Rhinolophus ferrumequinum: one gene and its partner. The protein of the gene in region 1 interacts with the protein of each later gene in a pairwise test. Links are inferred from orthologs where the notes say so. Each region holds a gene or a part of one and is shown on either strand. Other genes may lie near its edges.

Region 1 (11,354 bases):
TTAAAAATTAAAAATAGAAAAAAGCTCATATAATAAGGATATAACGAGAGAAAATATTTTTATATAGTGCACAATGTGTTTGTGTTTTAAGCTAAGTGTCATCATCACAAAAGTCAAAAAGTTAAAACAATTAAAAACTTTCTAAAATAACATTTTATAGTAAGTAAAGTTAATTTATTATTGAAGAAAGAAAAATATTTTTAATAAATGCAGTGTAGCCTCAGTGTACAGTGTTTATATAAAGTAGTGTACAGTAATGGCCTCGGCCTTCACGTTCACTCACTGCTCACTCACTCACCCACCCAGAGCAACCTCCAATCCTGCAACCTCCATTCAGGGCAAGTGCCATATACATGCAGATATACCATTTCTTTAAAATCTTTTATACCATATTTCTACTGTACCTTTTCTATTTTCAGATATATTCAGATACACAAAGTCTAACCATTGTGTTACACTTGCCTACAGTATTCAGTACAGTAACATGCTGTACAGGTTTGTAGCCCAGGAGCAACAGGTAGCCTAGGTGTGTAGTAGGCTGTACCAGCTAGGGTTGTGTCAGCGCACTTTATAATGTTCACATAATGAAGAAATTGCCTAATGAAGCATTTCTCAGAACGTATCCCTGTTGTTAAGTGATGCATTATTGTATATACATTAGTAATTTAAATACCAAAATAATAGTATCAGGATATTTTGATATCTCCAAATTATTCTAATTTACTTTGACGAAGAGACGTGCATTAGAAAAATTTTCACCTTTTTTTATTCTTGTTCATTCATTCATTTAACAACTCTCTCTTGTATGGTTTTTCTCTTTAGTGCTAACAGGGTGGACAATAATGAATATACATAAGGCCTATTCTCGTGGTTCTTATACTCTAGTGTGGAGAAAGAAAATAAACAAATTAAAAACAGCTACATATATGCTATTTTATTCATTCATTTAAAATGGGCAAGCACTACTCTTGATGCTGGGAATTAGTAGTGAACAAAACAAAGTTCCCTGCCCTCTGGAATTTATGCTAAGGTGGCAGAAATTAAAAATTAAATAAACATATGTGCTAATTATTGAAGGAATCCAATGGCTGCTCATAATAGAAGGTAACTCCTAACAACCACAATTCCTTAGGAATGAAGAAATAGAGATGCCTTTAAGTAGAGCAAAAATCACATTGTTATTGTAATTCAGGTCCAGGCTGCAGAAACTCTTTAATTTTTTTACTCTCTTGTGAGTATAGGTTAACTTCTTCTAACTTGCCTTGAAATTTCTAATACAAAGCAGCAGATGGCACTATCACCTCATTCACTCTCGCCTGATTTTGCTAAATCTTTTTTTCTTTCTTTCGTTTTTAATTAATTAATTATTATTATTTTGTTTAAAGTAGAGTTGATATACAATCTTATATTGGTTATGTTAACTTCAGGTGTACAATATAGTGATTTGACACTTTTATACCTTACAAAGTGATCACCCCACTAATTCTCATAATCATCTGTTACTGTGTGAGACTTATCCCAATATTATTGACTATATTCCTCTTCCCCTTTACACCCGTCCTCCTACTTTCTTCCTTTGGTCTCTGTTTCTATGAGTTCTGTTTTTGTTTTGTTTGTTTCTTTAGATTTGTTTTTATATTCCACATATAAGTGAAACCATACAGTGTTTGTCTTTTTCTGCCTGACTTCTTTCACTCAGCATAATACCCTCTAGATATATACATGTTTTTGCAAATGGCAAGATTTCCTTCTTTTTTATTGATGTGTAATATTCTCTTGTGTATATATACCACATCTCCTTTATCCATTCATCTATCCATGGACACCTAGGTTGCTTCCATATCTTGGCTATTGTAAATAATGCCGCAATGAATATAGGTGTGTACAGACCTTTGCAAATTAGTGTTTTTGTGTTCTTTGGATAAATACCCAGAAGTGGAACTGCTGGGTCAGATGGTATAACTATTTTTAGCTTTTTTGAGGAACCTCCATACTGTTTTTCATAGAGGCTGTACCAGTTCGCAGGCCCACCAACAGTGCACAAGGGTTCCCTTTTCTCCACAGCCTTGCCAACACATTTGCTTTTTGACTTTTTGATAATAGCCATTCTGACTAGTGTGAGGTGGTATCTTGTTGTGGTTTTCATTTGCATTTTTCTGATGATTAGTGATGTTGAGCACCTTTTCATGTCTGTTGGCTATCTGTATGTCTTCTTTGGAGGAGGTAGCATGGTCCCTGATCTCAGACTATACTACAACACTATAATAATAAAAACAGTACTGGACTGGCACAAAAACGGACACATAGATCAATGGAATAGAAAGAGAGCCCAGAAATAAACCCTTGCTTATATGGTCACTAATCTATGACAGAAGAGGTAAAAATATACACTGGAGTAACAACAATCTCTTCAACAAGTCGTGTTGGGAAACTGGATAGATACAAGAACATGCAAAAAAATGAAAGTGGACCACTGTCTTATACCATATACAAAAATAAACTCAAAATGGGTCTAAAGACTTAAATGTAAGGCCTGAAGCCATAAAACTTCTAAAAAAAAACACACACACAGGAAATAAGCATCATTCTGAGTAATACTTTTTTGGATATGTCCCCTTGAGCAAGGTAAACAAATGCAAAAGCAAACAAATGAGACCAAGTCAAATTAAAAAGCTTCTGTGCAGTGAAAGACACCTCAACAAAACCAAACGGCAGCCCATTGGATGTGGGACTATATTCACAAATGATATATCCAATAAGGGGATTATATCCAAAATATATAAGAAACACATACAACTCAATAACAAAAAAAATAAACAATCCAATCAAAAAATGGGCAGAGGACATAAATCTTTTTGATTAATTCATACTGACTTAGTTCAGATCACACACCACCAGGAATCTAATATTTTCGTTTCCTGTACCCCTCCTATTCACCATCCAAGGATCCCAACAGAGATTTAAGACCCGTCATCATTTCACTGGTGAGGAAACAAGAAGAGAAAAATTAAACAACACAGCTAAAGTCACTCAGTCAATCAGTGATAGAATAAGGAGCAACAGGACAACATGATACATTTATTAGATATAACATGGACTTTGAATTTAGAAGTTCTGACAATAACTTGAAGATATTACCCCCCATGCAATCCAATTTCCTTATCTTGAGTTGTTTCCCATCTTAAAAAAAAATTAAAAGGAATGAATGAATGAATGAAATATACCAGGTGAATATCTTCCAAATATTTGATGGGTTCAATTTTTTTTTTTAAATGAAATTATGTATGAAATTCCCGCATATAAAACAAGCAAAATCAGAGATTCTCTGGTTGTATCAATACTGGGGCAATCTAAAGACTTTCTTGTTTGGTCTGTCGTGCTTCACCTTTGGCTATAATTTTTCTTCCTATAAAAGAAAATGCTGAGTTTAAGTTTAATGCACAAAAAAATAAATAAATAAAACATAGTCAACATATTCAACCAAAATATGGATGGCCCATGTAATAAAAAGCAAATGCAAAAGAGAAAGAAGAGTCACTGTGGTGGAAGAAAGAGAGACAATGGCACATATAACTTAAAACAAATATACAAACAAAAAAACAGCTCCCACTTAAAAATAATAACCACCATTCTTCATTTTCCCCTGTTCTTCTAAGGCAATTTAAAGATAAGTTGGTTGTGATTTGGGACTAGAACTTGGAATTACCTAGAGTTTATTTCTTAGTTCACAAGAAGCATAATTGTTTGTTTTCTTGTCTATTTCCCCCAGTAGATAGGACTATTGAGACACTGCCCAACACATTGGATACAGAATACCAACGGAAATAGAATGCTTGTCCTTTTGGAGTTCAAAAACCAAATCAGACAATAGAACTGGGTTATTTTATGTTATAATATATGAAGGTAGTTATACATGTATTGTACATATGGTATTACTTTTTAAGTACTTTCATTTATTTTTACACATTCATTTATATATCAACCCAACATATATTTATTGATAACCTACAATGAATCAGAAGTTAGTTTAGGTACATGGGATATATCAGTGACCAAGACAAGCGATATTCTTAACTCATGGAGCTTACAAACATGTGGATGGGAGACTAATCATAAACAGTTGAGATATACAAGTTCTGACAATTATGTTCGCAAACTCACCCTAGAAAAAGTTCTACATACCTCATTGCTGAATATCACTACGGTCACCTGCAAAATATTCCCCTTGGGAAACTATGCACCAATACCAGCGCCTAATCCACGCTTCAAAGCAATTTTGGAACTCTTTTTATGGAATGGCCATCAGAGCTGTCATCGTATTATCCTTGATGTCCTGAATGTCATCAAAATGTCTTCCTTTCAATATTTCTTTTACCTTCAGGTAAAGAAAGAAGTCATTGGGGGCCAGATCAGGTGAGTAGGGAGAGCGCTCCAATACAGTTATTTGTTTACTGGCTAAAAACTCCCTCACAGACAGTGCCGTGTGAGCTGGTGCATAGCTGTGATGCAAGAGCCATGAATTGTTGTCATTTTCATCTTTTTCACGCAGCTTTTTCAGCACTTCCAAATAGTAAACTTGGTTAACTGTTTGTCCAGTTGGTACAGATTAATAATGAATAATCCTTCTGATATCAAAAAGGTTAGCAACATCGTTTTGACTCTTGATTTGGACTGACGGAATTTTTGTGGTTGTGGAGAATTGGCTGACTTCCACTGCGCATTTTGACACTTTGCTTCAGGGTCATATTGATACACTAATATTTCATCACCAGTTATAACACAGCCCAACACATTGTCTTGCCTTTCCTAAAGGTCTTGGCAAACTTCGACTCTCCTTTGTTTTTGTTCATTGGTGAGCATCCTTCAGGATCATTTTGCACACGCATATCTCATGCCAAGATTTTCAGTTAAGATTTTTCTAGCTGTTTCTCTATCAATGTTTACTTGGTCTGCTGTGCTTTTCACAGTCTGCCGATGATTTTGATGCACAATTCAATGAATATTTGCAATGTTTTCATCAATTCTGCTCATTACTGTCCACCCTGGCCTCTCTTCATCAGTGACACGTTCTCTCCCCTCAGAAAAACATTTAATCCATTTGCACACTGCTTTTCTTCATGGCACTATCCCCATAAACTCAGACTAATATGTCCCTGATTTCACTTCCTTTCTTGCCAAGTTTAACAAGAAATTTAATGTTTGTCCGTTGCTCTAATTCAAGCGCAGACATTCTCATGATGGCACACAAAAACATGCAACAACAATAATGAAGGCGACTCAGCAAGACACCGCCACATGTCGGCACAAACACAGCTGTGAGACACTGATATAAGAAGGTTATGAAAATTTCTTCAAGGACCTGAGAGCCATCTCTTTGAATGCAAACAATCAGGGAGTTAGGGACATACCTCTTGCTCTCCCAGTTCCTGTGGGAGGATAAGAGGGTGTAACGTCAGTGGGAGCACCACCCAGTTTCAACACCACTGCCTCCTGTCATGAGGATAGTTTTTTTCTCTTCTGGATATGCATCAGTTAACAAATCCAGATGACGTCACATGAATTAATTCTCACCACCCCCCTTAAGGAGATTCAGTGCCTTTTCCTGAGCTCACCCAAGCCTTTAAAAAGTCTTCAGTCCTTTTTTTTTGGAGAAGTTGAGTTTAGTTCATGCTTGGTCCTCTTCTCTGTTGTAATAGCACTACTGAGGGACATCTGTCCTCATTGCTTCAATGTCAGATATCTCCTTCATTCTGTTCACTTTAGTCTTGTAAATGGGTCGGATACATCACTAGTTTCCAGCAAGGATAACTGTTTTCCATATCTCCTTAATTGGGGCATTACAATAGCAATTGGATGAGAGAGAGAGAAAAATCAAACATTTAACATAATATTTCAGTCCCAGAATTCTTCATAAGCAGTTACTAGCAATATAGGCGGACAGAATGGTGAAAGAGGCAGTTTCTGAAAAAAAAAAAGATCATGAATTGTGCAGAAACAGTAGATTTTGGTTTGATTCCTTCCTTCAATGTTTTTATTAGCTTCTTAAAAGTGAGCAAGGGACTAAAATTTCTGTGTCTTATCTTCGTCATTTAAAAGAAGGACAAATAATACCTACCACAAGGACTTGTTGGAAAATTAAGATTGAATGAAAAAAACATGTGCACAGGGTAGTACCTACCTCATGGTAATTGTTTAATAAATAATTACTACTTTTTATTATTAATCTCTAACAAATCCCAGAAAAGCTTTGTTTCCTCTCTGTGTCGTTACAGCAATGTCCCTCTTTATGGCATCCTTCATATATCCATCTGTGGATTTACTCTATGAAACAATGAGCTCCTTCACAGGTATCATTTTTTCTTGTATCCCCAGCTCCTGCCAATTGAAAAGACGGGCATTTGACAAATGTTTAGTGAATGACTGAATACATGAATAAATGAAGGAATGTGTAGTTATAGTGAAGTAATGGTAAACTTAAGGTACCAAAATTTTTTTTACATTTGTATAGGCCAAGTCAATTAATGATGTCAAATTCAGTTGTAAAAATAATGAAAACAGCATAAGATGTCAATCTTTTCATATTTCTTTTATTTGGTCTGAAACAAAGCCCAACCTGTTATGAGACCTTATAATTTCCTTAAGAGTCATCAGTCTCAGAAACAGGATCTAAAGGTACAAATGGGAACTTAACACAGCATCGTCTCCATTTCCTGCTTTTGGATAACTGGTAGGACTACTTAAGCTCAAGTTGTTAAAGCTCAGTAAAGGCCTATCCCACGTGATTTGACTCATAGATCCTCTTTTGTTCACAAGGAGTTGTCTTGGAAGAGAGGAAAGAGCTCTCAAATGCTCTGTCAATTCAGGAACGCAATAGAACAATGGAATATCACCCTGACTTAGAAAATTTGGATGAAGATGGATATACTAAATTAGACTTCAGCTCTCGAAATGTCCCCAGGAGACCTGTGTTCTCAGAGAAAGGTATTTTTTCTTTATGCCTTCAACATTTTCATTCTCATCAACTAAAAACTTAAGTGGAGAAAACTTGAGAGGCTTGTGATTTGTGGGGATTTTATTACTACATTTTAAAAGTTTTTCAGAAGTCACTGAAGATAATTTGAATGTGCACTAAGACATTTTTCATGGCAACCATTCAGTGGCTAATTAATAGTGTTTAAATTAATTATGATGATGACAGAAAATACAATGTGTCTGTTCCATAGAAATAGAAACTTCTGTAGTGAGGAGTTGGTAATACGTATGACGAATTGCAAAGATGAAAGAATTTCAATAGGAGTGGCTTATTGCTTGTTTGATAGAAAGGTCTAAATTGTAGAATGGAAGTTCAGGAAACTTAAAGAAGTATATTAACAATATCAGGATACTGGAGATGAGAAAGAGAAGAATGAAAAGAAGAAAGATAGGTGAGGGAAAAAAACAAACTTGTGATTTTGTGGTAAAGGCCAAAGGGAAGTCAGAAGTCATAGGATTTATAATCCCAAATTTGATATGTGTACTGTGGTAAGAGCTTGATTTGGATTTTTTTAAACAAAAAGCAATTCTTCATATACCAGTGAATAAAAATATATGTTATAGATGAAAAGAATTTATTAGCAGGACATGAGTCTTAAACAAAACGTAAAAATGATATATGGAGAATAGTGTTAAAAGATTTCTCTCCTCATAAAATGAGCCATTTAGTCTCCTTTATGATTCTCCTATTTGACAACTCTGAAATGTTGTTACTGCTTATTCTCAGTCAAAGGCAAAACTATGTTCTTGGTGGTGATGTTAACATAAATTAGACCCCTGTTATCAAGAGAGATTATTCATAGGTTTTGACATCAGTTTGCTCTCTTCTGCTTTCTGGTAGTTCACATTGCACAATTATTTTTCTCTCACCACTTACGCAATACTTTTCTTGGGTAACCTTTTGGGGGAGAGTGGAAAAATTGGATAATGCAAAAGGTAGGGAGGCGTGCATGTGTTTATGCATAGGTGTGGACAAACCTGTAATGTGCTAGTCATCTCTGAACTGGGTGCTTTTACATGTGTTATCTCATTTAATTCCCACAATAATCCTTTGAAGTATTATTACCCCAATATTGTACAAAGAGAAATGGAAAAACAGAAGAAGTAATTTGCCCAAGATCATGCAACAAATAAGTAAAAAGGGAAGATTACCCTTAGTCATCAGTGTTATTTCCCCTGTATTTCTGCTGTATCTTCCAAGAATGAGTGGGATTTCATGAATCCTGGTGGTGTGAGTTGTAGAGCCATCAATGTGGAACTGAAATCAGGAGTGCATAGTTATCAACTCACTGAAATCAGGAGTGCATAGTTATCAACTCACTCAAATTACATTTCCAGAACCTGAAGACGAATGCTGAAGTTGGGGGAAAATTCAGACTAATTCTGGATAACTGGAGTATCTGGTTATCAGTGATTAATGGTTCACTTCAGAATTTGCCAGATTTTAATGAATTATAGAATTTAAGTACTCCACAATCCATTGTCTTATTTCTTCATTCAATTTCTGCTCTGTCTGGTCTTCAGGATATTGTGGGATATCTCACTGGCGTTCCATTGCTGTGATTTTGGGAATCCTATGCTTGATAATACTGGTGATAGCTGTGGTCCTGGGTGCCACGGGTGAGTATTGCTGGGGAAGATTAACAAGAAACATTTAATAAGCATTTATAATATAGTAGACAATTTTTTAAAAGCTTGGCATGCATAATCTAATTTAATCTGTATATTAACCCTATTGAATTGGTGTTATTAATTTCCAGTTTATTAATAAGGGAAGTGAGAGCCTGGGAATTTATTTTACTTTTCCAGGATCATAAACTAGTTAGTGGTAAGACCACAATTAGAAATTTAGGACATCTGTCTGAAAAATTCAGACTTTTAAGTACATTGCTCTATTACCATCCTTGAATGGCTGATTTCAAAGCTGTAGAATTCCCAGGATAAATTAATGGAAGAAAACTAGTAAAGGTTAAGATGGAAGTATATTTTGGTGCTAGCTTCCTAATAAAACAAATGCCCTAAAGAGACTATAAGCTATTTTTATGAATCTCATGATTTAAGGAAACTATTTTAAACCTCATCTTTAATCTAAACTCCTTTGGATTATACCAGTTACTTACCTGAGGCACTTACTAAATACTAAGTACATATTTTGTGATTAATGAATGACTTTCCTTAGATTTTATATCTCAAGCATTCTATTGTCAATAAAGTATTATTGTGCTCTCAGGGAGTCTTTATTAGATTCCTTAATTATTCAAATGTTTATTGGGTACAGTCTATGTTATAAGTACTGGACAGGTTTTCAAGGAGCTCTCATTTTTAAAACACAGAGAAAGGTAGAAAATTTACTATAATTTCAAATCTATCATGGCTCCAATTAACTCTATTCTATCTGTCACTTGCTTTCTCCTTAATACTTATTCTCCTTCTCAACCTGCTTCATTTTTCTCTTTTTTACTATACCGTCCATGTGGAAGTTATTTTTTTCTATCTATTTAATCTATCTATCATCTGTCTATCTATCTATCTATCTATCTATCTATCTATCTATCTATCTATCTATCTACCTACCATCTATATATATATATATATATATATCTGTCATGCGGGGTATCACGTGGGGTCTCAGCTCCCGCTCAGGTGCTACCTGAGCCAGCACCTTTCCACATGAGGCCGAGAGCCTGGAAACTGCACCCCTGGCTTTGTCCCCACACTGTCCATCTATCTATCATCTCTCTGTCTTTACCCCTCCATCAGCAGTGTATTACCTATTAATCATTAATCAAGAATGCATCTCTTTATATTACAACAAAAATATGGGTTTGGGGATTTTAATTTTCAAACATAGTAAAATGATTTTTTGTTGTTGTTGTCATTATTGTTGTTGGTGGCATGTGAAGGTATGTGGAGATCCAATTCAGGAAGCAACTCATTGAAGAATGACAATTTTCCGTCAAGGAATAAAGAGAACCACAGTCAATCCACACAATCATCTTTAGAACAGAGTGTGGCTCCTACCAAGGCTCTCAAAACCACAGGCAAGGGCAGAGTTAAATGATTAATGGAATTCTGGATTCAGAAGAGTTAATTATTGGTGTTCCAGCCTAGAGCGGGGGTGGGGGGTGGGTGAAGAGAGCACTTTTACATGATTGTGCATTCAAGGAAAGCACACATCAGTATTATCTCACTCTAATATGCCCCTGTCATATATACAATAAAGTGATATCATAGATACCCTCATGTACTTGGCCGGACAGTTCTAAGTTGTATTTTTTTTTTTTTTCAAATCAGTAACTATTCTTGGCTGTGTGTTTAGGCATACAGGAGATTGTATAACTTGAAATGTATTCTCTGCCCTTAAGTTACTGATATTTTAAGGTGATACAGTAAGAATAAGAAATAGCATATCAGAAAGGAAGAGAGGGAGAGAAAAAGGAAAGGACAAATGTTGATAAGGATTAAGAGGTTAAATTAAACACATGCAAAAGAAATAGACCTAATAGATGTCTTCCTAAAAACTCTGGTTAAATTTGTTTTCTTTAATCATATAATTTTATTTATTTCATTACAATTTTATATACACTTACCTTTATTTCTAATGGCATCATGATTGACTATGATGATATTTTGACTTCAGTTTTCCATCTCTGGACCCATACATCTTCATTATATGTATCAAATAATTAATACAAATCAGAGATACTCTATAATGTAAATAATTACTCTTATACTTTTTTCATTTGGAAAATTGCATTCTAAAATGGATCTTACACCTGTAAAATAAATTAACATGAAATTACTGTATACCTTAATGATTGATTTTGAGTTGATTTATTTTAAGACTTATCAAGAAAGGGAGTTCTGGGCTGAATTCAAGGGAATGGAAGACAAGTCAAGAAGGAAAGGAAGGTCGACTGTGTATAACACTTTTATAGTTACTCAATTTTAAATGAATGGGGATATTTTAATGTGGTTTCTTTTGTAAAATCATATCTCTATAGTTTTAATTGAAAATGAAATATATTAATGGCAATTTGTTGATTATTTATTGTATCCTATGGATGTATGGTGCTTGCACTGACAGAGTGAAGTGGTATAATATGAATCTCATCATATTTATCTTTTATTTCCAGGAGTTCTTTCCAGCTCTTGTCCCCCTAACTGGGTTATACATGAGAACAGCTGTTACCTATTTAGCACACCACTGGATACCTGGGAGGAAAGTAAAACACAATGCTCTCAACAAGGCTCTAGTCTACTGAAGATAGATAGCTCAAATGAATTGGTGAGTGCAGATTTCAGTTATGATTATCTGTGGT
Region 2 (11,951 bases), on another chromosome or scaffold:
CCACGACTCACTTTTAGTTAGGAATTTTTACATTCAGACCATACTGTGTGGTTCTTTTCAGTGTCTGATTTGTAGGGTTCACCATGCAGGGTTCCTCTGAGCTCGTCTGGCTTAGTATATATGGTCCCTTTTTCGTCCACACTATCATTAAATTAATAATGTCTTTTCATATCTTCCTGCAAAACTTAAAAATTTTCTTTGTCTGTATCTTGAACATTTCTTAAGTTCTTAGATATTCTTAGATATGTTTTGTTGTCACTCTTATGAGATGTTTTCCATTTTCAAATTGGTCACTGCTAGCCTTTAAAAAAGCTATTGATTTGTGTATGCTTACCTTATGACACACATTATTAAATTTTTATTTGTTCAAAGACTTTCTCCATTGATTGTCCTGAATCTTCAGAGAAACAATTTTATTATTCTGTGTTAATCCACTGCTTTAATTAACAGATACTAACTGAACCCCTGCTGCCTGCCGGGCCTGCCCTCAGGGAACCTACCTGGGGGGATGAGGTGGGTCAGTAGTAGCAGTCTCGCCTCCTCCTTTTTGGTGTTGTGAAATTTTCCTTCCTCCTTCCTGTCTTCTGGCACGGCCTCAGACCTCAGAGCTCGGGCTGCTGACAAGCCCCTGGCCTGCTGCTGACTTCACGGGGATGCCACGGTGTCACCCATCGTGGGCTTCAGGTGCGCTACTTTTACCAGGGCGGTGTCTCTGTTGTGAGTGTAATAGAAGCCAGCTTGGAGTGCCGGGAGAGGAGAAGGGATTTCCTGATGGGTTCTGGAGGGCTCACAGAGTTGCTGTTTTGAAGGCCCAAGTCCTAGCCTTGAAACATGGGCAGGAATGAGGGCAGCTACACAGTGGTACGCCTGGTCCCAAGGATGGATGGCTGGCACTCTGGGCGCTGGGGCCCGGCACCTCCTGCTGGGTGCTGGGTGCTGGGTGCTGGAGGCTGCTCTGGTATTTCCGTTTCTCTAGACCAAAAGGCAGGACGTCACGCAGCGTGCAGGGCTTCAGGTGAGGGCAAGGAGGAAGGAGCCCACGTCCCCCCACTGCCCTCTCCCCCGCCCAACTTACTAAGTTTGTTTCTAGCGTGTGTTCATGTCAGAAATGCACATGAAATTATTTTTGCTTCTAAAATGATTATTTTTAGTCTTTGATCTGTCAGGTATTTTTTAAGATCCTCAAGCTACTTTTTCTTCTTTAATCTTTTGTTAAATATGTGGTCAAACCATCCCTACCGTCCCAGGAGAGAACTTACATGGTTGTAATGGATTCGTCTTCTGTTTGCTGTCAGTTCAGTCAGTACTTTTCCATGCATATTCCTAGGTGACTATAGCTCAATATTTTGTTTCCTACTATGAAAGCATGATGCGAAGTTAGAATCAGGGTTGTACCGACCCCATAGAATGAACTGGTAAAATCTCACTATTGACTACAGCCTGAAAGCACACGGAAATGCTCCCCGATCTAAAGGTTGGGCAGAAACTTGTAAAACTGCCTGAGCTCTGTCTCTGGGGAAATCAGACCGTCAGCCACGTGCCAATCACTTCCACTGCTTCAGAGGCTCTCCTTTCCTGAATCAACTTTATATTTTCCTGAAAAATAATTTTATTCAGGTTTCTTTTTTTAACTATAAAAGTGTATATGATTTTATATCATATTTTAAAATTTCCTCTGAATTTATAATCAGATCCTCATGTAGTGCTCAAAATGTCATTTATCACCAAAGATTTGAAATTAATGAAGGCAAATATGTTTTCTAACTCATTAATTTTGCTTTAATTTTTATTAATTTTATAATAATGTTACAAATGTATTAATTTCTTTTATTTAGGGTTTTTTCCTAGCTTTTTAAACTACCTAGTTCATTTCTTTTATACCTTGTCCTAAAATGCATTTAATACTATACATTTTCATACGAGTGGCATTTAATATATTGTTTTTAATAAATTTTATTTTTATGACTAATTTAGAACGACAGAAAAATGATGAATCCAATAGTAGAGTGAGTTCCCACACACCCTACACCTAATTTGCCGTTATTAACATCTTACGTGAGTAAGACTTATGCTAATCAGATTTCCTCAGTTTTTCCCTACTGTCCTCATGTCCCAGGATCTCAGTTTTGAGACTCCTGTCTCCTTGGGCCACTGTTGGCCATCGCCGTTTTTCAGGGTAGGCCAACTGGAGCAGATCTTCAAGCCACGCGTTTTCTTTCCCATTTCCCACTTGCATTTTCCTTGATCCCCAACTCTGACTGGGGGCTCCTCAGGCTTCCCCTGGGCAGCCTGACCCACCCTGTCTGCTATAACCTTCCCCGGGGCACTAAGCAGCTTTACAGTGACGCTGTTGGAAGTTAGGCCTCAGGGCTCCCTGGGTGGGGACATGAAATGATGGAAGTTGCTGGGACCTGTTAACGTAAGAATGTCCAAACCTGTAGATTACTTCTTATAAAAATGTATTTGGGCCAAACAGAGGATACACCTGGAAGCAAGATCTCAGCAGACTGAGATAAATGTTTGGAGAATAAGTTTGCAGTTTCTTTTATGCATATGAGATTAGGAAGGAACTAAGGAAGATTTCAAGGAGGTGGGAAGGAGCAAGGCGGGGATTGGATTACAGGACAGTTAAGATTACAGTGCTCTCTTGAGGGTGGTTCTGCTTCTTTCAAAGGCTGTTAACCTGGATGCACAGAAACAATGGACAGGGCTGCTTACAGCAAAGAGAAACCTTTTGCTAAAGAAGTTACAGACCTGGGGTGGGACTACTCACCGCGACCTGCCCTGCCCGTTAGGAATTTGTGATCAGATCACTCTGAGGTTACTTTCCGTGGAGCTTCTTCCCCCCCCCCCCCACAGACTGGTAGAGTGTTCTAGATGGGGAGGGAAAATCAGGTTGCAAAAAGAAACATTTCCATTTAAACATTTCTGGGTCATCGGCCTAGAGAGACTTAGAGGGCTTATGAAATGTACACGTTCCGGTGAGCTTAGCAGGTTGAGGGGTGAGGAGACATACAAAAGTCCGTGATCATTGTACATATTAGCAATAAAAAAATCAAACGAAATTTCACAATATGGTAACATTAGAAATAGGCCTATTTAGGGAATGTCTGTCAAGTGCGCAGACGCTGTACACTGAAGAGCACAGAACCTGCCGAGAAGTGAGAACACCTGAACAGCGGACAAGCAGCCTGCGCTCAGGGGTTGGGAGACGGGACAGCTTCCCCAGTGATGCTTCCCCAGGCAGTCGTCCCAGTAAAGGGCCCAGAGAGAAGAGGCAGGCGTGGGCACATTCTATGAGGGGACGTGCCATTTGTGTCCGTGTGGGGCAGCTGTGTCCCGTGCGTCCGCTGCTGCACCCATCCTGAACACTGCAGTGACAGGGGCGCTTGGAAAAGACTTGCTGAATAAAGGAGAACTAACGTTTGAATGGAAAGAAAGGCCAGAACCTCTACATCCAGAAAGAAGGCTAAGCTTAGTGCCCCTCTCAAGGGCATCCTTACCTAGAATGGAAACAAAGACACCCCCCCCCAGGTGAGGACAGCAGGGGCTGCTGCCCCAGAGCGTGCTTGGCACCCGTCCCCGTCACTGGGTTTGGCAGAGACCCAAAGGCAGGCAGGGGAGTGGGAGACTTCACAGTGGAAAGGGAGGCTCCAGGTGTGTCCCCATGGAGGCTGGGACCGGAAAGCCTGGAGCAGGGGACACCGAGATTGGTCAGGGCGGCGTCTGGCTTTCTGTGGTGGGTCCTGAGCTGGCAGCGGGGACAGAAATTGGGGAAGCTGTCAGTTATGGATCAAGTCCGGCCGTTTGGGGCTGACTGTTACAGGGCTGCTGTGTGGCTTCCAGTTGCTAGAGACACTGGTCTCACTTCCTGCCAAGAGAGGAGGCTGGGCTCCTGGTTGGTCACTGCAGGTGAGGGGCTGCTGCCTGGCTGGTGGCCGCGGGTGTGTCTCAGTTCTGTCTTCACAGATGGCTTAGCCCCGGTGTGTTTCCACGCAGTCCACTAGCGAGCCCTGCGGTCCTCGGCTGTCCGGTTTTCGCATTGCCCGGTGTCGAGTTTACTGCCTTTACTGTGTTGGAGGGAGAACAGCAAACTCAGCAGCGTTAAAGACAGCCCGGGGGCCTCAGCGTCCAACCCGGCCCGCGCAGCCGCACGCCCGTGCTCACCTGCACCTCGCCCGCGTCCACCGGTGGGACGCGCGTCCGCCGCGAGCTCCGTCCGCAAGGCGCCCAGGCCTGGCGGGACCAACAGGTACTGAGCCCCTCCCACGGTGCCCCGCCTCTCCAGCAGTTTAGCCCCGCCCACCCGGACCCCGCCCCGCCCACCCCGGGCCCCCGCCCCGCCTGCGTACGCACGCCCCGCCCCTCAGACCCCGCGCACGAGCGCTCGGATCGCCAGGCGACGCCTCTGCTCCACCCCGCGCACGCGCCGCACGCGCCGCACGCGCCCCGCGCGCCCCACGCCCTGCGTACGCGCAGGCCCCTCCTCGCGGCCAATCGGCGACGCCGCCGCTTTTCCGCTGTTTATCTGCGGTGCGTCTGCCGGCGCGCGTCAGTCAGTCGGGGTCCTGGGCTGACGCCGCTGTAATTGTTGGGCCCGCGCTCGTGCTCCAGCTGCCGCCGGTCTTCTTTGCAGCGCCCGGCGCCCACCCGATCCCGGCCCGGCGGCCGCTGCGCCCTCCTTCCGGCGCCATGTCGCAGAGCGGGACACCCGGACTACAGGAGGAGAGCCTGCAGGGTGAGCCTCGCGGGATCGGGGCGGGGAGTGCTGAGGGGAGGCCGTGGGGACGCGGGGACGCGAGTGAGGCGGGCGGGACCTGTCGGGGCCCCTTCACGGCGAGGCCAGGCCGCCGGGACGGTCGCCGGCGCGAGGCTGCGCCCACCTCGCGGGTCGTCCCTGCGCACGGCGGGCAGGTGGCGGCTGGCTGCCCGTGGGGCCAGGCGGCCGGCGGGGCCCCCGGGACGTGGGGGCCGTGCGGGGCCGTGTCCGGGGCGCACGGCTGCCGCGCCCGCGGACAGTGGATCCTGGGGAGGGGCCGAGCTGGGGGGTTGGCGCGGACGCCGGCCGAGGCCGGCGAGGAGCCTGAACTGTCCGGCTCGGGGCAACTGGAAGCGCCGTCTGCGAGTCGCGTCTCGGGTCCGAATGGCTTCTTCAGGGCCACGTTTCCACGTTCTGTGGTGAGACCAGTGGGTTTCAGGAGCAGAAGCCGGGTGTGACGTGGGCTTGCACGGGCGTTAGTAGTAGAGCGTGGAGCGTCCTGGCCGCCGGGACCGGTCGGAGGAAGGAGGGCAGGGGGTTGCCCGTGATGCAGACGGGCCCGCGGCCCCCGGCCGCGCTTCTCCGCGGAACAGATGGACGGTGCTCGGAGCAACTGCCGTGGGCTGCGGGCAGGCCGCTCTTTACGTTCGCCTGGGCTAGAGGGTCGTCCCCAGACAACAGGGATGTGCGGGCGGGAGAGTGGAAGCTGGAGGACCTGGGGCACCCGGCGCTGCCGCTCGTGCGCGGGGCCTTGGCGATTCCAGACCCGCGGGCGCGGAGGGTTGCTGTGCTGCTTCGTGGGTCGGTGGCAGCCGTGCGGTCCGCCCTCTGGCCTCGCGTCGGCCGCGCGGCCGCTCGGGGGGGCCCGGGAGCGGGGGAGGAGGAGCCCGCGCGTCACCTTTGCGTTCTCGGGGGCAAGAGTTGACTCGGCAGGAGGAGCGTGAGTAAGCGTCGGAGAGGACTGTTCAGACCTGAGCGTGAGCTTAAACCCTAACGTTGTTCAGATAAGTTCAGTGAGCTGCTAGGTTTTTTCTTAGTCCTTAAAGCAGCATTGTATTTTTATTAGGCGAGGCTGAATTAGCCTAATGCGTTGTGTGTCGTGTATTTTAAAAGTACAACCACTTTTTTTTTATTAGTTTCAGGTGTACAAAACAATGTACTAATTAGACATTTACATCCTTCATAAAGTGGTAACCCCCCCGTCTACTACCCCCAGTCCACTACCTCTCTGACATGGTGTGTGACTGTTACAATCCCATTGACTGCCTTCCCCATGCTGTAGTTTATGTACGTGTGCACACTTACATATATTTAATCATTGTTGACATTTTATATTATTTTACTTCGGCTGCAGATGTATATAGCGCAGCGGTCAGGCATCCACACAGTCCATGAAGTGATCCCCCTGATAAGTCCAGTGCCCATCGGGTACCTTCCATCATCTTTACAGCTCTGCCGGTTATATTCCCCAAACTGTACTTCGTGTCCCCGTGACTGTTTTGTGACTACCGGTTTGTTCTTTCTAATCCCCTCACCTGCTCCCTCATCCCCACCCCCCTCCCATCTAGCAACCACCACTTTTTTCTTTATATCTCTGAGTCTGTTTCTGTTTTGTTTGTTTATTCTGTTGTTTAGATTCCACATATAAGTGAGATCACATGGTATTTGTCTTTCTCAGTCTGACTTATTTCACTTAGCATAATGTTCTTTAGGTCCATCCATATTGCAAATGATAAGATTTCATTCTTTTTCATAGCCAAGTACAACCACATTTTTAAAATCCTGTAATCTCCTTAAATTTTGAAATTGACTGTTTTCTTTGAACTGGATTAAGGAATTAATCTTTTCTGTCTTTTTTCACGCAGGATCCAGGGGGTATTTCATAAACTCTTGGCCTTAGAATCATTCTTTTCCTAATTACCAAACTACTTAACTTCTGCCGCTGTGTTTCACTGGCTCAGATTTAGCCTCTGGAAGAGTTCTGAGCCCTCCAGAGGGGCTTCCTGACTGACACCAAACAGCTGAGTCACTGGCAATGCAAAATCACCAGCTCGTGAATTAAAAGATTTGCTTTGTGTTTTGCTTATTCTATAAAAAGATGGTTACACAGGGAGTGGAAACTCATGGTAAGGATTCCCGAGTGTACTAGTGTGTACGTGCTGTAGGGCACTCCACTTGCTCACCGTCCAGCTCCGGCTGGGAGGAGTCAGTCACTGGGCAGCTGCCCCACGAAATGTGAGCCGCATGGATTCTGGATTCGCTGGAGCAGGCGTGTCCTCCGTGTGCTGTTTTGATTTGGTTCCCTCTTGTTTACCTCACATGACAACTGAGAGCTTTGGTTGCCAAACTCCGACAGCAGCAAACGGTTTCCCCTTTGCTTGTATCTGGCACCAGGATGTTCTCCCCAAGGAGTGAACAGCAAAATGGATGTGTGTTCCCCCCTTTCCCTGGTCCATTCTAGTTAGAGCTGTTGACTTGCAAGGTGTTCTGTGCCTTTTTCTTCTTAGATGCACAACTGCTGACATGCATGTTGTTGTGTCACAGTGTCACGGGAGTGGTGCGTGGCTTACTTCCCAGAAGGCCCCCTTCTGAGCAGAGCTGCTCATGGGTGCAGGCGTCAGTTCAGTCAGTGCTCAGCCCTTTGCTCTGAGACGCCCCCACCCCTGTTACTGCTGTGTATGGGGACAGTGCTCGTCTTGGCAACTCACCACGTGGCAGCTCCCCACGGACAAAGGTGTATGAAGAGGAAAATAATTCATCTTTCCTGTGGAGGGGAATGTGGAGCTTGCAGTTTGGGAGTATAAAGGGGTTTCAGGCATTAAATCGTAGCCCAACCCCTGCATTTCATAGAGGGTTGCAGTGAGGCCAGAGGGTAAGTGATAACAGGTAAGGCAGAGTCAGGGGCTCCACGCTGAGTGCCAGGGGGACACCAGGAGCCTAAGTGACAGAGTGCATTAAACAGGACCCTGCCTGGCAAAGGAGAGCCACGCAGCTCCTGGTAGGAACCAGGAGCCAGAATGGTCTGTTCCAAATCACTTGGGAATGAGGTGTCTTGTCTGACGCTTTTACATTCCCCCTCCCTCCCCTCCCCTCCCCCCCACAGGGAAGAAGCCCTGCGATTGGCTGGTGCTCCCCCTGGGCTTGGCGACCGCTGGCCTCAGGCCTTCCGAGGATGCCCTGCCTTCTGGGACCTCCCTCCTCCCTGACACTGCTCCCAGTCTTACAGCTGCTTTGTTCCCGCGTCCTTCCCCTGGCCAGTTGGCTTCAACCCTGGCCCCCGCAACATTGCCATTGTAGACTTTTCAGAATATATTTCTGGAGTCCGTCCCAGCACTCCACATAAGGATATTCAGAGCGGTGGGCCAGGCTCCTGAGGAACAGAGTAAAAGCACCTCAGGTGAGTCTCCTTAGTCACGGTTGGGACCTGCTACCTCACACTAGGGTGTGGGTGGCCTTTGGGGCTCTGTGGGGTGCACCTGGGTATGTCGAGGGCAGTGTGGCCAGGCCAGCCTGGAGTCTTGCAGAAGGCAGGGACTGTGGTGGCACTTGGGTACGCCCATCTACCTTGTCCCGAGGCTGGCATTGACTTGCTGTGTGTGAGCCGGGCACGTCACAGTGGGTGTGGGGGAGAGGCAGCGGGCCTGCCCTCAGCAGCACCATCCGTTTTCTTCTGAGGCCTCAGGATTCCAGTTACTGGGCAGGTGATCTGTGCTTCTGAAGCAGCCCTAATCCCATCTTTCTTGCTTAAAAAGATGAGTGACCTTAACCAATTGCAGGATGTGAGTGGGTTAACAGCACGCATTTTCTTTTCCACGAAGAATGTTTTCCCACTTGTTGCAGGTTAATAATAAAACGCTTGCCCTTTAGTAAATCATTCCTGGGAATACAGCTTTTGTGCCCAAAGCTTTGCTGCAGACAGTCCAGAGTGGGATTTTTCTTCTTTCTCAATGATGCTTAGGACTTTCTATGAGATGATTCTAAAAAGCATGTACGTACTTGTGTCCATGGAGTCCCGAGTTGGCCCCTGTGACATAATAAAACACGTGTGTACACCTGAAACCAGTATGTCCTGTGTCAACACTGTATCTCAGTTAAAACAATTAGTGTGTGCTGGCACCGCTCTAACACTCGTGGGATCACTCGAGTGGCAGTAGTGCCTTTGTTATTCATGGAACCCCTTCTGCAGGGAACCCTCAGGGAGGCTCTGGCGAGCCTGGAGCCTCGGATGGGGTTGGGGAAGAGCCCCTTGTGATTAGAGGGTGGGAACCCAGCACCCAGCCCTTGCAGGGAGGGGACGGCTGGAGGTTGGGTTTTGAAAACTTTGAACAGCTAGGTCGGAGCGAGCTGGGTTGGTGAACACAGGGTGGTGCCCAGGTCAGGGCGCAGGGAAGCTCTGCCCCCGTGCCCCAGACCAGTGCTCTGTGCGTCTCCATTTGGCTCTTCCTGAGTTGTGTCCTTTCTAATAAATGGGTAAACACGTAGTGTTTCCCTGAGTGCTGTGAGTTGTTCTCGTGAGTTGACTGGACCTGAGTGGGGTGTTGTAAGGACCCTTGAATTGTGGTCTGCCAGGCAGATGTGTGGCTGACGTCTGATGTGGAGACAGTGTTGGCACTAAGCCTTTCAACTTGGGGGACCTGACAGCAGCTCCAGGTAGTGGCACCACTGAACTGAATTGTGGGACAGCTCGTTGGTGTTGGAGAATTGGTTTTTGCCGTCGAAACCCCACATGTGTTGTCAGAAGTGGAATCAGAAAAGCAGCACCTGCCTCGGACTCCGCCTACGTCAGACACTGAGTAGCACTGAAGCTTGGCCGGGCACATTGAGCCAGGCCCAGAATCTGAATAACAGGTTGAATCTAGAAAAACGGAACTGGGCCCAGCGTGGGGCCCATGCTGTTCCATGCCAGGGGCCCGAGCTGCCTTGCCAGCTGGCTGAGTGTGACCTTGAGTCCAGGGAAGGAGAGGGGGCTAGAGTTTTAATGCCGACGCCTCAGGGTGCGGACGGGCAGAGGACTCGGAAGGTGGTCGGCAGCCTGATGGACGTGGTCAGTCAGGCGAGCGGGCTCCGGAGTGCTGGTGCGGAGAGGGCCGAGCTCGAGGCCTCTGCTGGGTCAGAGGCTGGCTTAGTGGCCTGGCTCAGTGACCTGGTTCCGAGACCACCTCCTTCCTTGTGTTCGTGACGCACTTGTGCGGACCAGCTTGACAGGAAGCGACCTGAGAGGCTAAAGAGAAAAGTCACGTGTTAATCTGACAATGTGTGTGGTCATTTTGTTAGCAGCTAACTGCTGTCCAGGCTGCAGGTTCTCATCTATTCCTGGGCCCGTGATGGCTGGCTTCTCACTGATGATGTATTTCTTCTGCAGCTTTTTGAGCATTAGGCCAGGACCGGCAGAGCTGCCGGATGTGTCAGGGAGCAGCCGCCGGTGGTTCAGCCAGCGGGCGGTGATGGCCAACGGGCGCTGATGAACGGGCGCCTCCCACCCCCGTGTGGCGTCATTGGTGCCATGTTGGTTTAAGGACCGAGTGGCGGCTCTGGGTGACAATGACTGTAATAAGTGAGAGCGAGTGTAAGCCAGTTCATTGGGTTTCCGGGCTTCTGCAGTCTGCCTCCCCGCTCCCTCCGGCACCTGTCCTTCATGTGCCACCAGGGTGATCTTGGAGCAGGAGGTACCCTGGAGAGACACAGGCTTCCGCATAAAGTAGAAAACTGTCCTGGGCCCAACGTAGGCCTGTGCGTGCTGCCAGCTCGGTTTCTGACCAAGCTGCATGGCCGAGGGAGAAGCAGAGGCAGTCTCGTCAGTGAGTGGAAAAGCCAGACCTGTTTCAGGTTCCACCTACACGTGAAATCCGGGCTCACTGAACCTGGGTCGTCATGAGTGAAAACAGTACAGCTTTTTGGAAATAATACAGTAGAGTATCCTCATGGCCTCAGGCTAGGAAGAGACTGAAAATGTGACTGGATTAGAATCAGGAGTTTGTGCTCATCAGGAGACATTCAGGGTGAAAAGAGAAGCCATCGTGAAAGAGACCTGCAACACTCACGTGAAGAAAGGCTCGCGTCTGGAATATGGAGCTTCTGCAGACGGAAGGAAAGAGGAAGAGGTTTTTGCTATGCACATGGCCAGTAAGCGTGAAAAATGTTCGGCCTCAGTAGAAATCAGAGAAATGCACCGCAGACCACACAGCACGGAATGGATGGCTGAGTTTGAGGACTGACGGTCCCGTGTGGGAAGCTCCTTCGGGGCTGGTGGTGGTCCTGCTGCTTGTTACCCCCCAGGTGGGGCTGCAGAGGCGAGAGCACATGGGCGGATGGATGGACGGACGGACGGCTGGACGGAGAGAGAGGGAGGTGCTGTTCACAGCCGCTCGCCTGGAAGCCAGCTGCACGTCCAGCTGGGCAGACAGCGGCGTGGCCGCACCGTGGGCTCCTGGACGCAGCAGCAGAGCACGCCTGCCCACGGCCCAGTGCGCGCTAGCTGGCCCCTCGGTGCAACCCCAGGAGCCCTCACTGCTTTTGCCCTCAGGCCTGCGGGTGTCTGGGCCGCAGGCATGCGGGGGGCCTTTCTGTGTCCGGGGCACTTCTGTCCTTGTGTGGGATGGGCCACAGTGATTTCCATCCCCCCAGACACTTGCTCAGGGGCAAGAGCAACAGCCCTGGCCACCCCGCACCGCCTGGCACGGCCCTGTGTCGGGCTGTCTGTCACTCAGGCTGCCACCTCCGCGGGCTTCCTCTGCAGGGCTCAGCCCAGCCGCTGCCCGGTGCACAGCCGCCAGCAGTGTGTGCCCAGCTGTTGAGTGGCGTGGGCGTGTCCAGTGAACTCCAGGTGCTGGGTCTTCAGGGACAGATCCCGGCTTGGAGCAATGGCTTTACGTGCGGGCTTCGCGGTCGGTGGGGATGGGGAATGCTTTGGCGCTACGTGGTGGTAAGTAGGTGACCTGGTGCTAAGAAGACAGTTCTCTAAATCTGTAACATGTACCTGGGTGAAATAAATTTGTTCAGAACATGTAACAGACGTCAAGTTTTCGTTCAAGTAAGAAAGAATGTGGAGCCGACTTCCTGTAGCTTTGGCTGAATGCACGCCGAGCGTGGCTTGATGTGCTGGATCGGGGTTCGTCAGAAATGGCCTTGGTGGTGTTCAGAGTGTATTCATCTGGCTGCTGATGTCAGTAAATCCAGAGCAGCTGTCATGCCG

The links.
Region 2: the proteins of CLEC7A (region 1) and BNIP3 interact in binary tests that used the Homo sapiens proteins (3 or more experiments, as listed by UniProt). The two-hybrid records come from large-scale screens. The link is inferred for Rhinolophus ferrumequinum from reciprocal best matches to the Homo sapiens genes CLEC7A and BNIP3.

The regions. Positions count from the first base shown.
Region 1 is NC_046293.1:25,858,398-25,869,751, reverse strand, and holds the start of CLEC7A (C-type lectin domain family 7 member A), read left to right. Parts: upstream 1-6,784; 5' UTR 6,785-6,878; coding exon 6,879-6,981; intron 6,982-8,556; coding exon 8,557-8,652; intron 8,653-9,935; coding exon 9,936-10,073; intron 10,074-11,168; coding exon 11,169-11,320; intron 11,321-11,354.
Region 2 is NC_046299.1:993,009-1,004,959, forward strand, and holds the start of BNIP3 (BCL2/adenovirus E1B 19 kDa protein-interacting protein 3), read left to right. Parts: upstream 1-4,535; 5' UTR 4,536-4,692; coding exon 4,693-4,738; intron 4,739-11,951. UniProt on the Homo sapiens protein: Apoptosis-inducing protein that can overcome BCL2 suppression. May play a role in repartitioning calcium between the two major intracellular calcium stores in association with BCL2.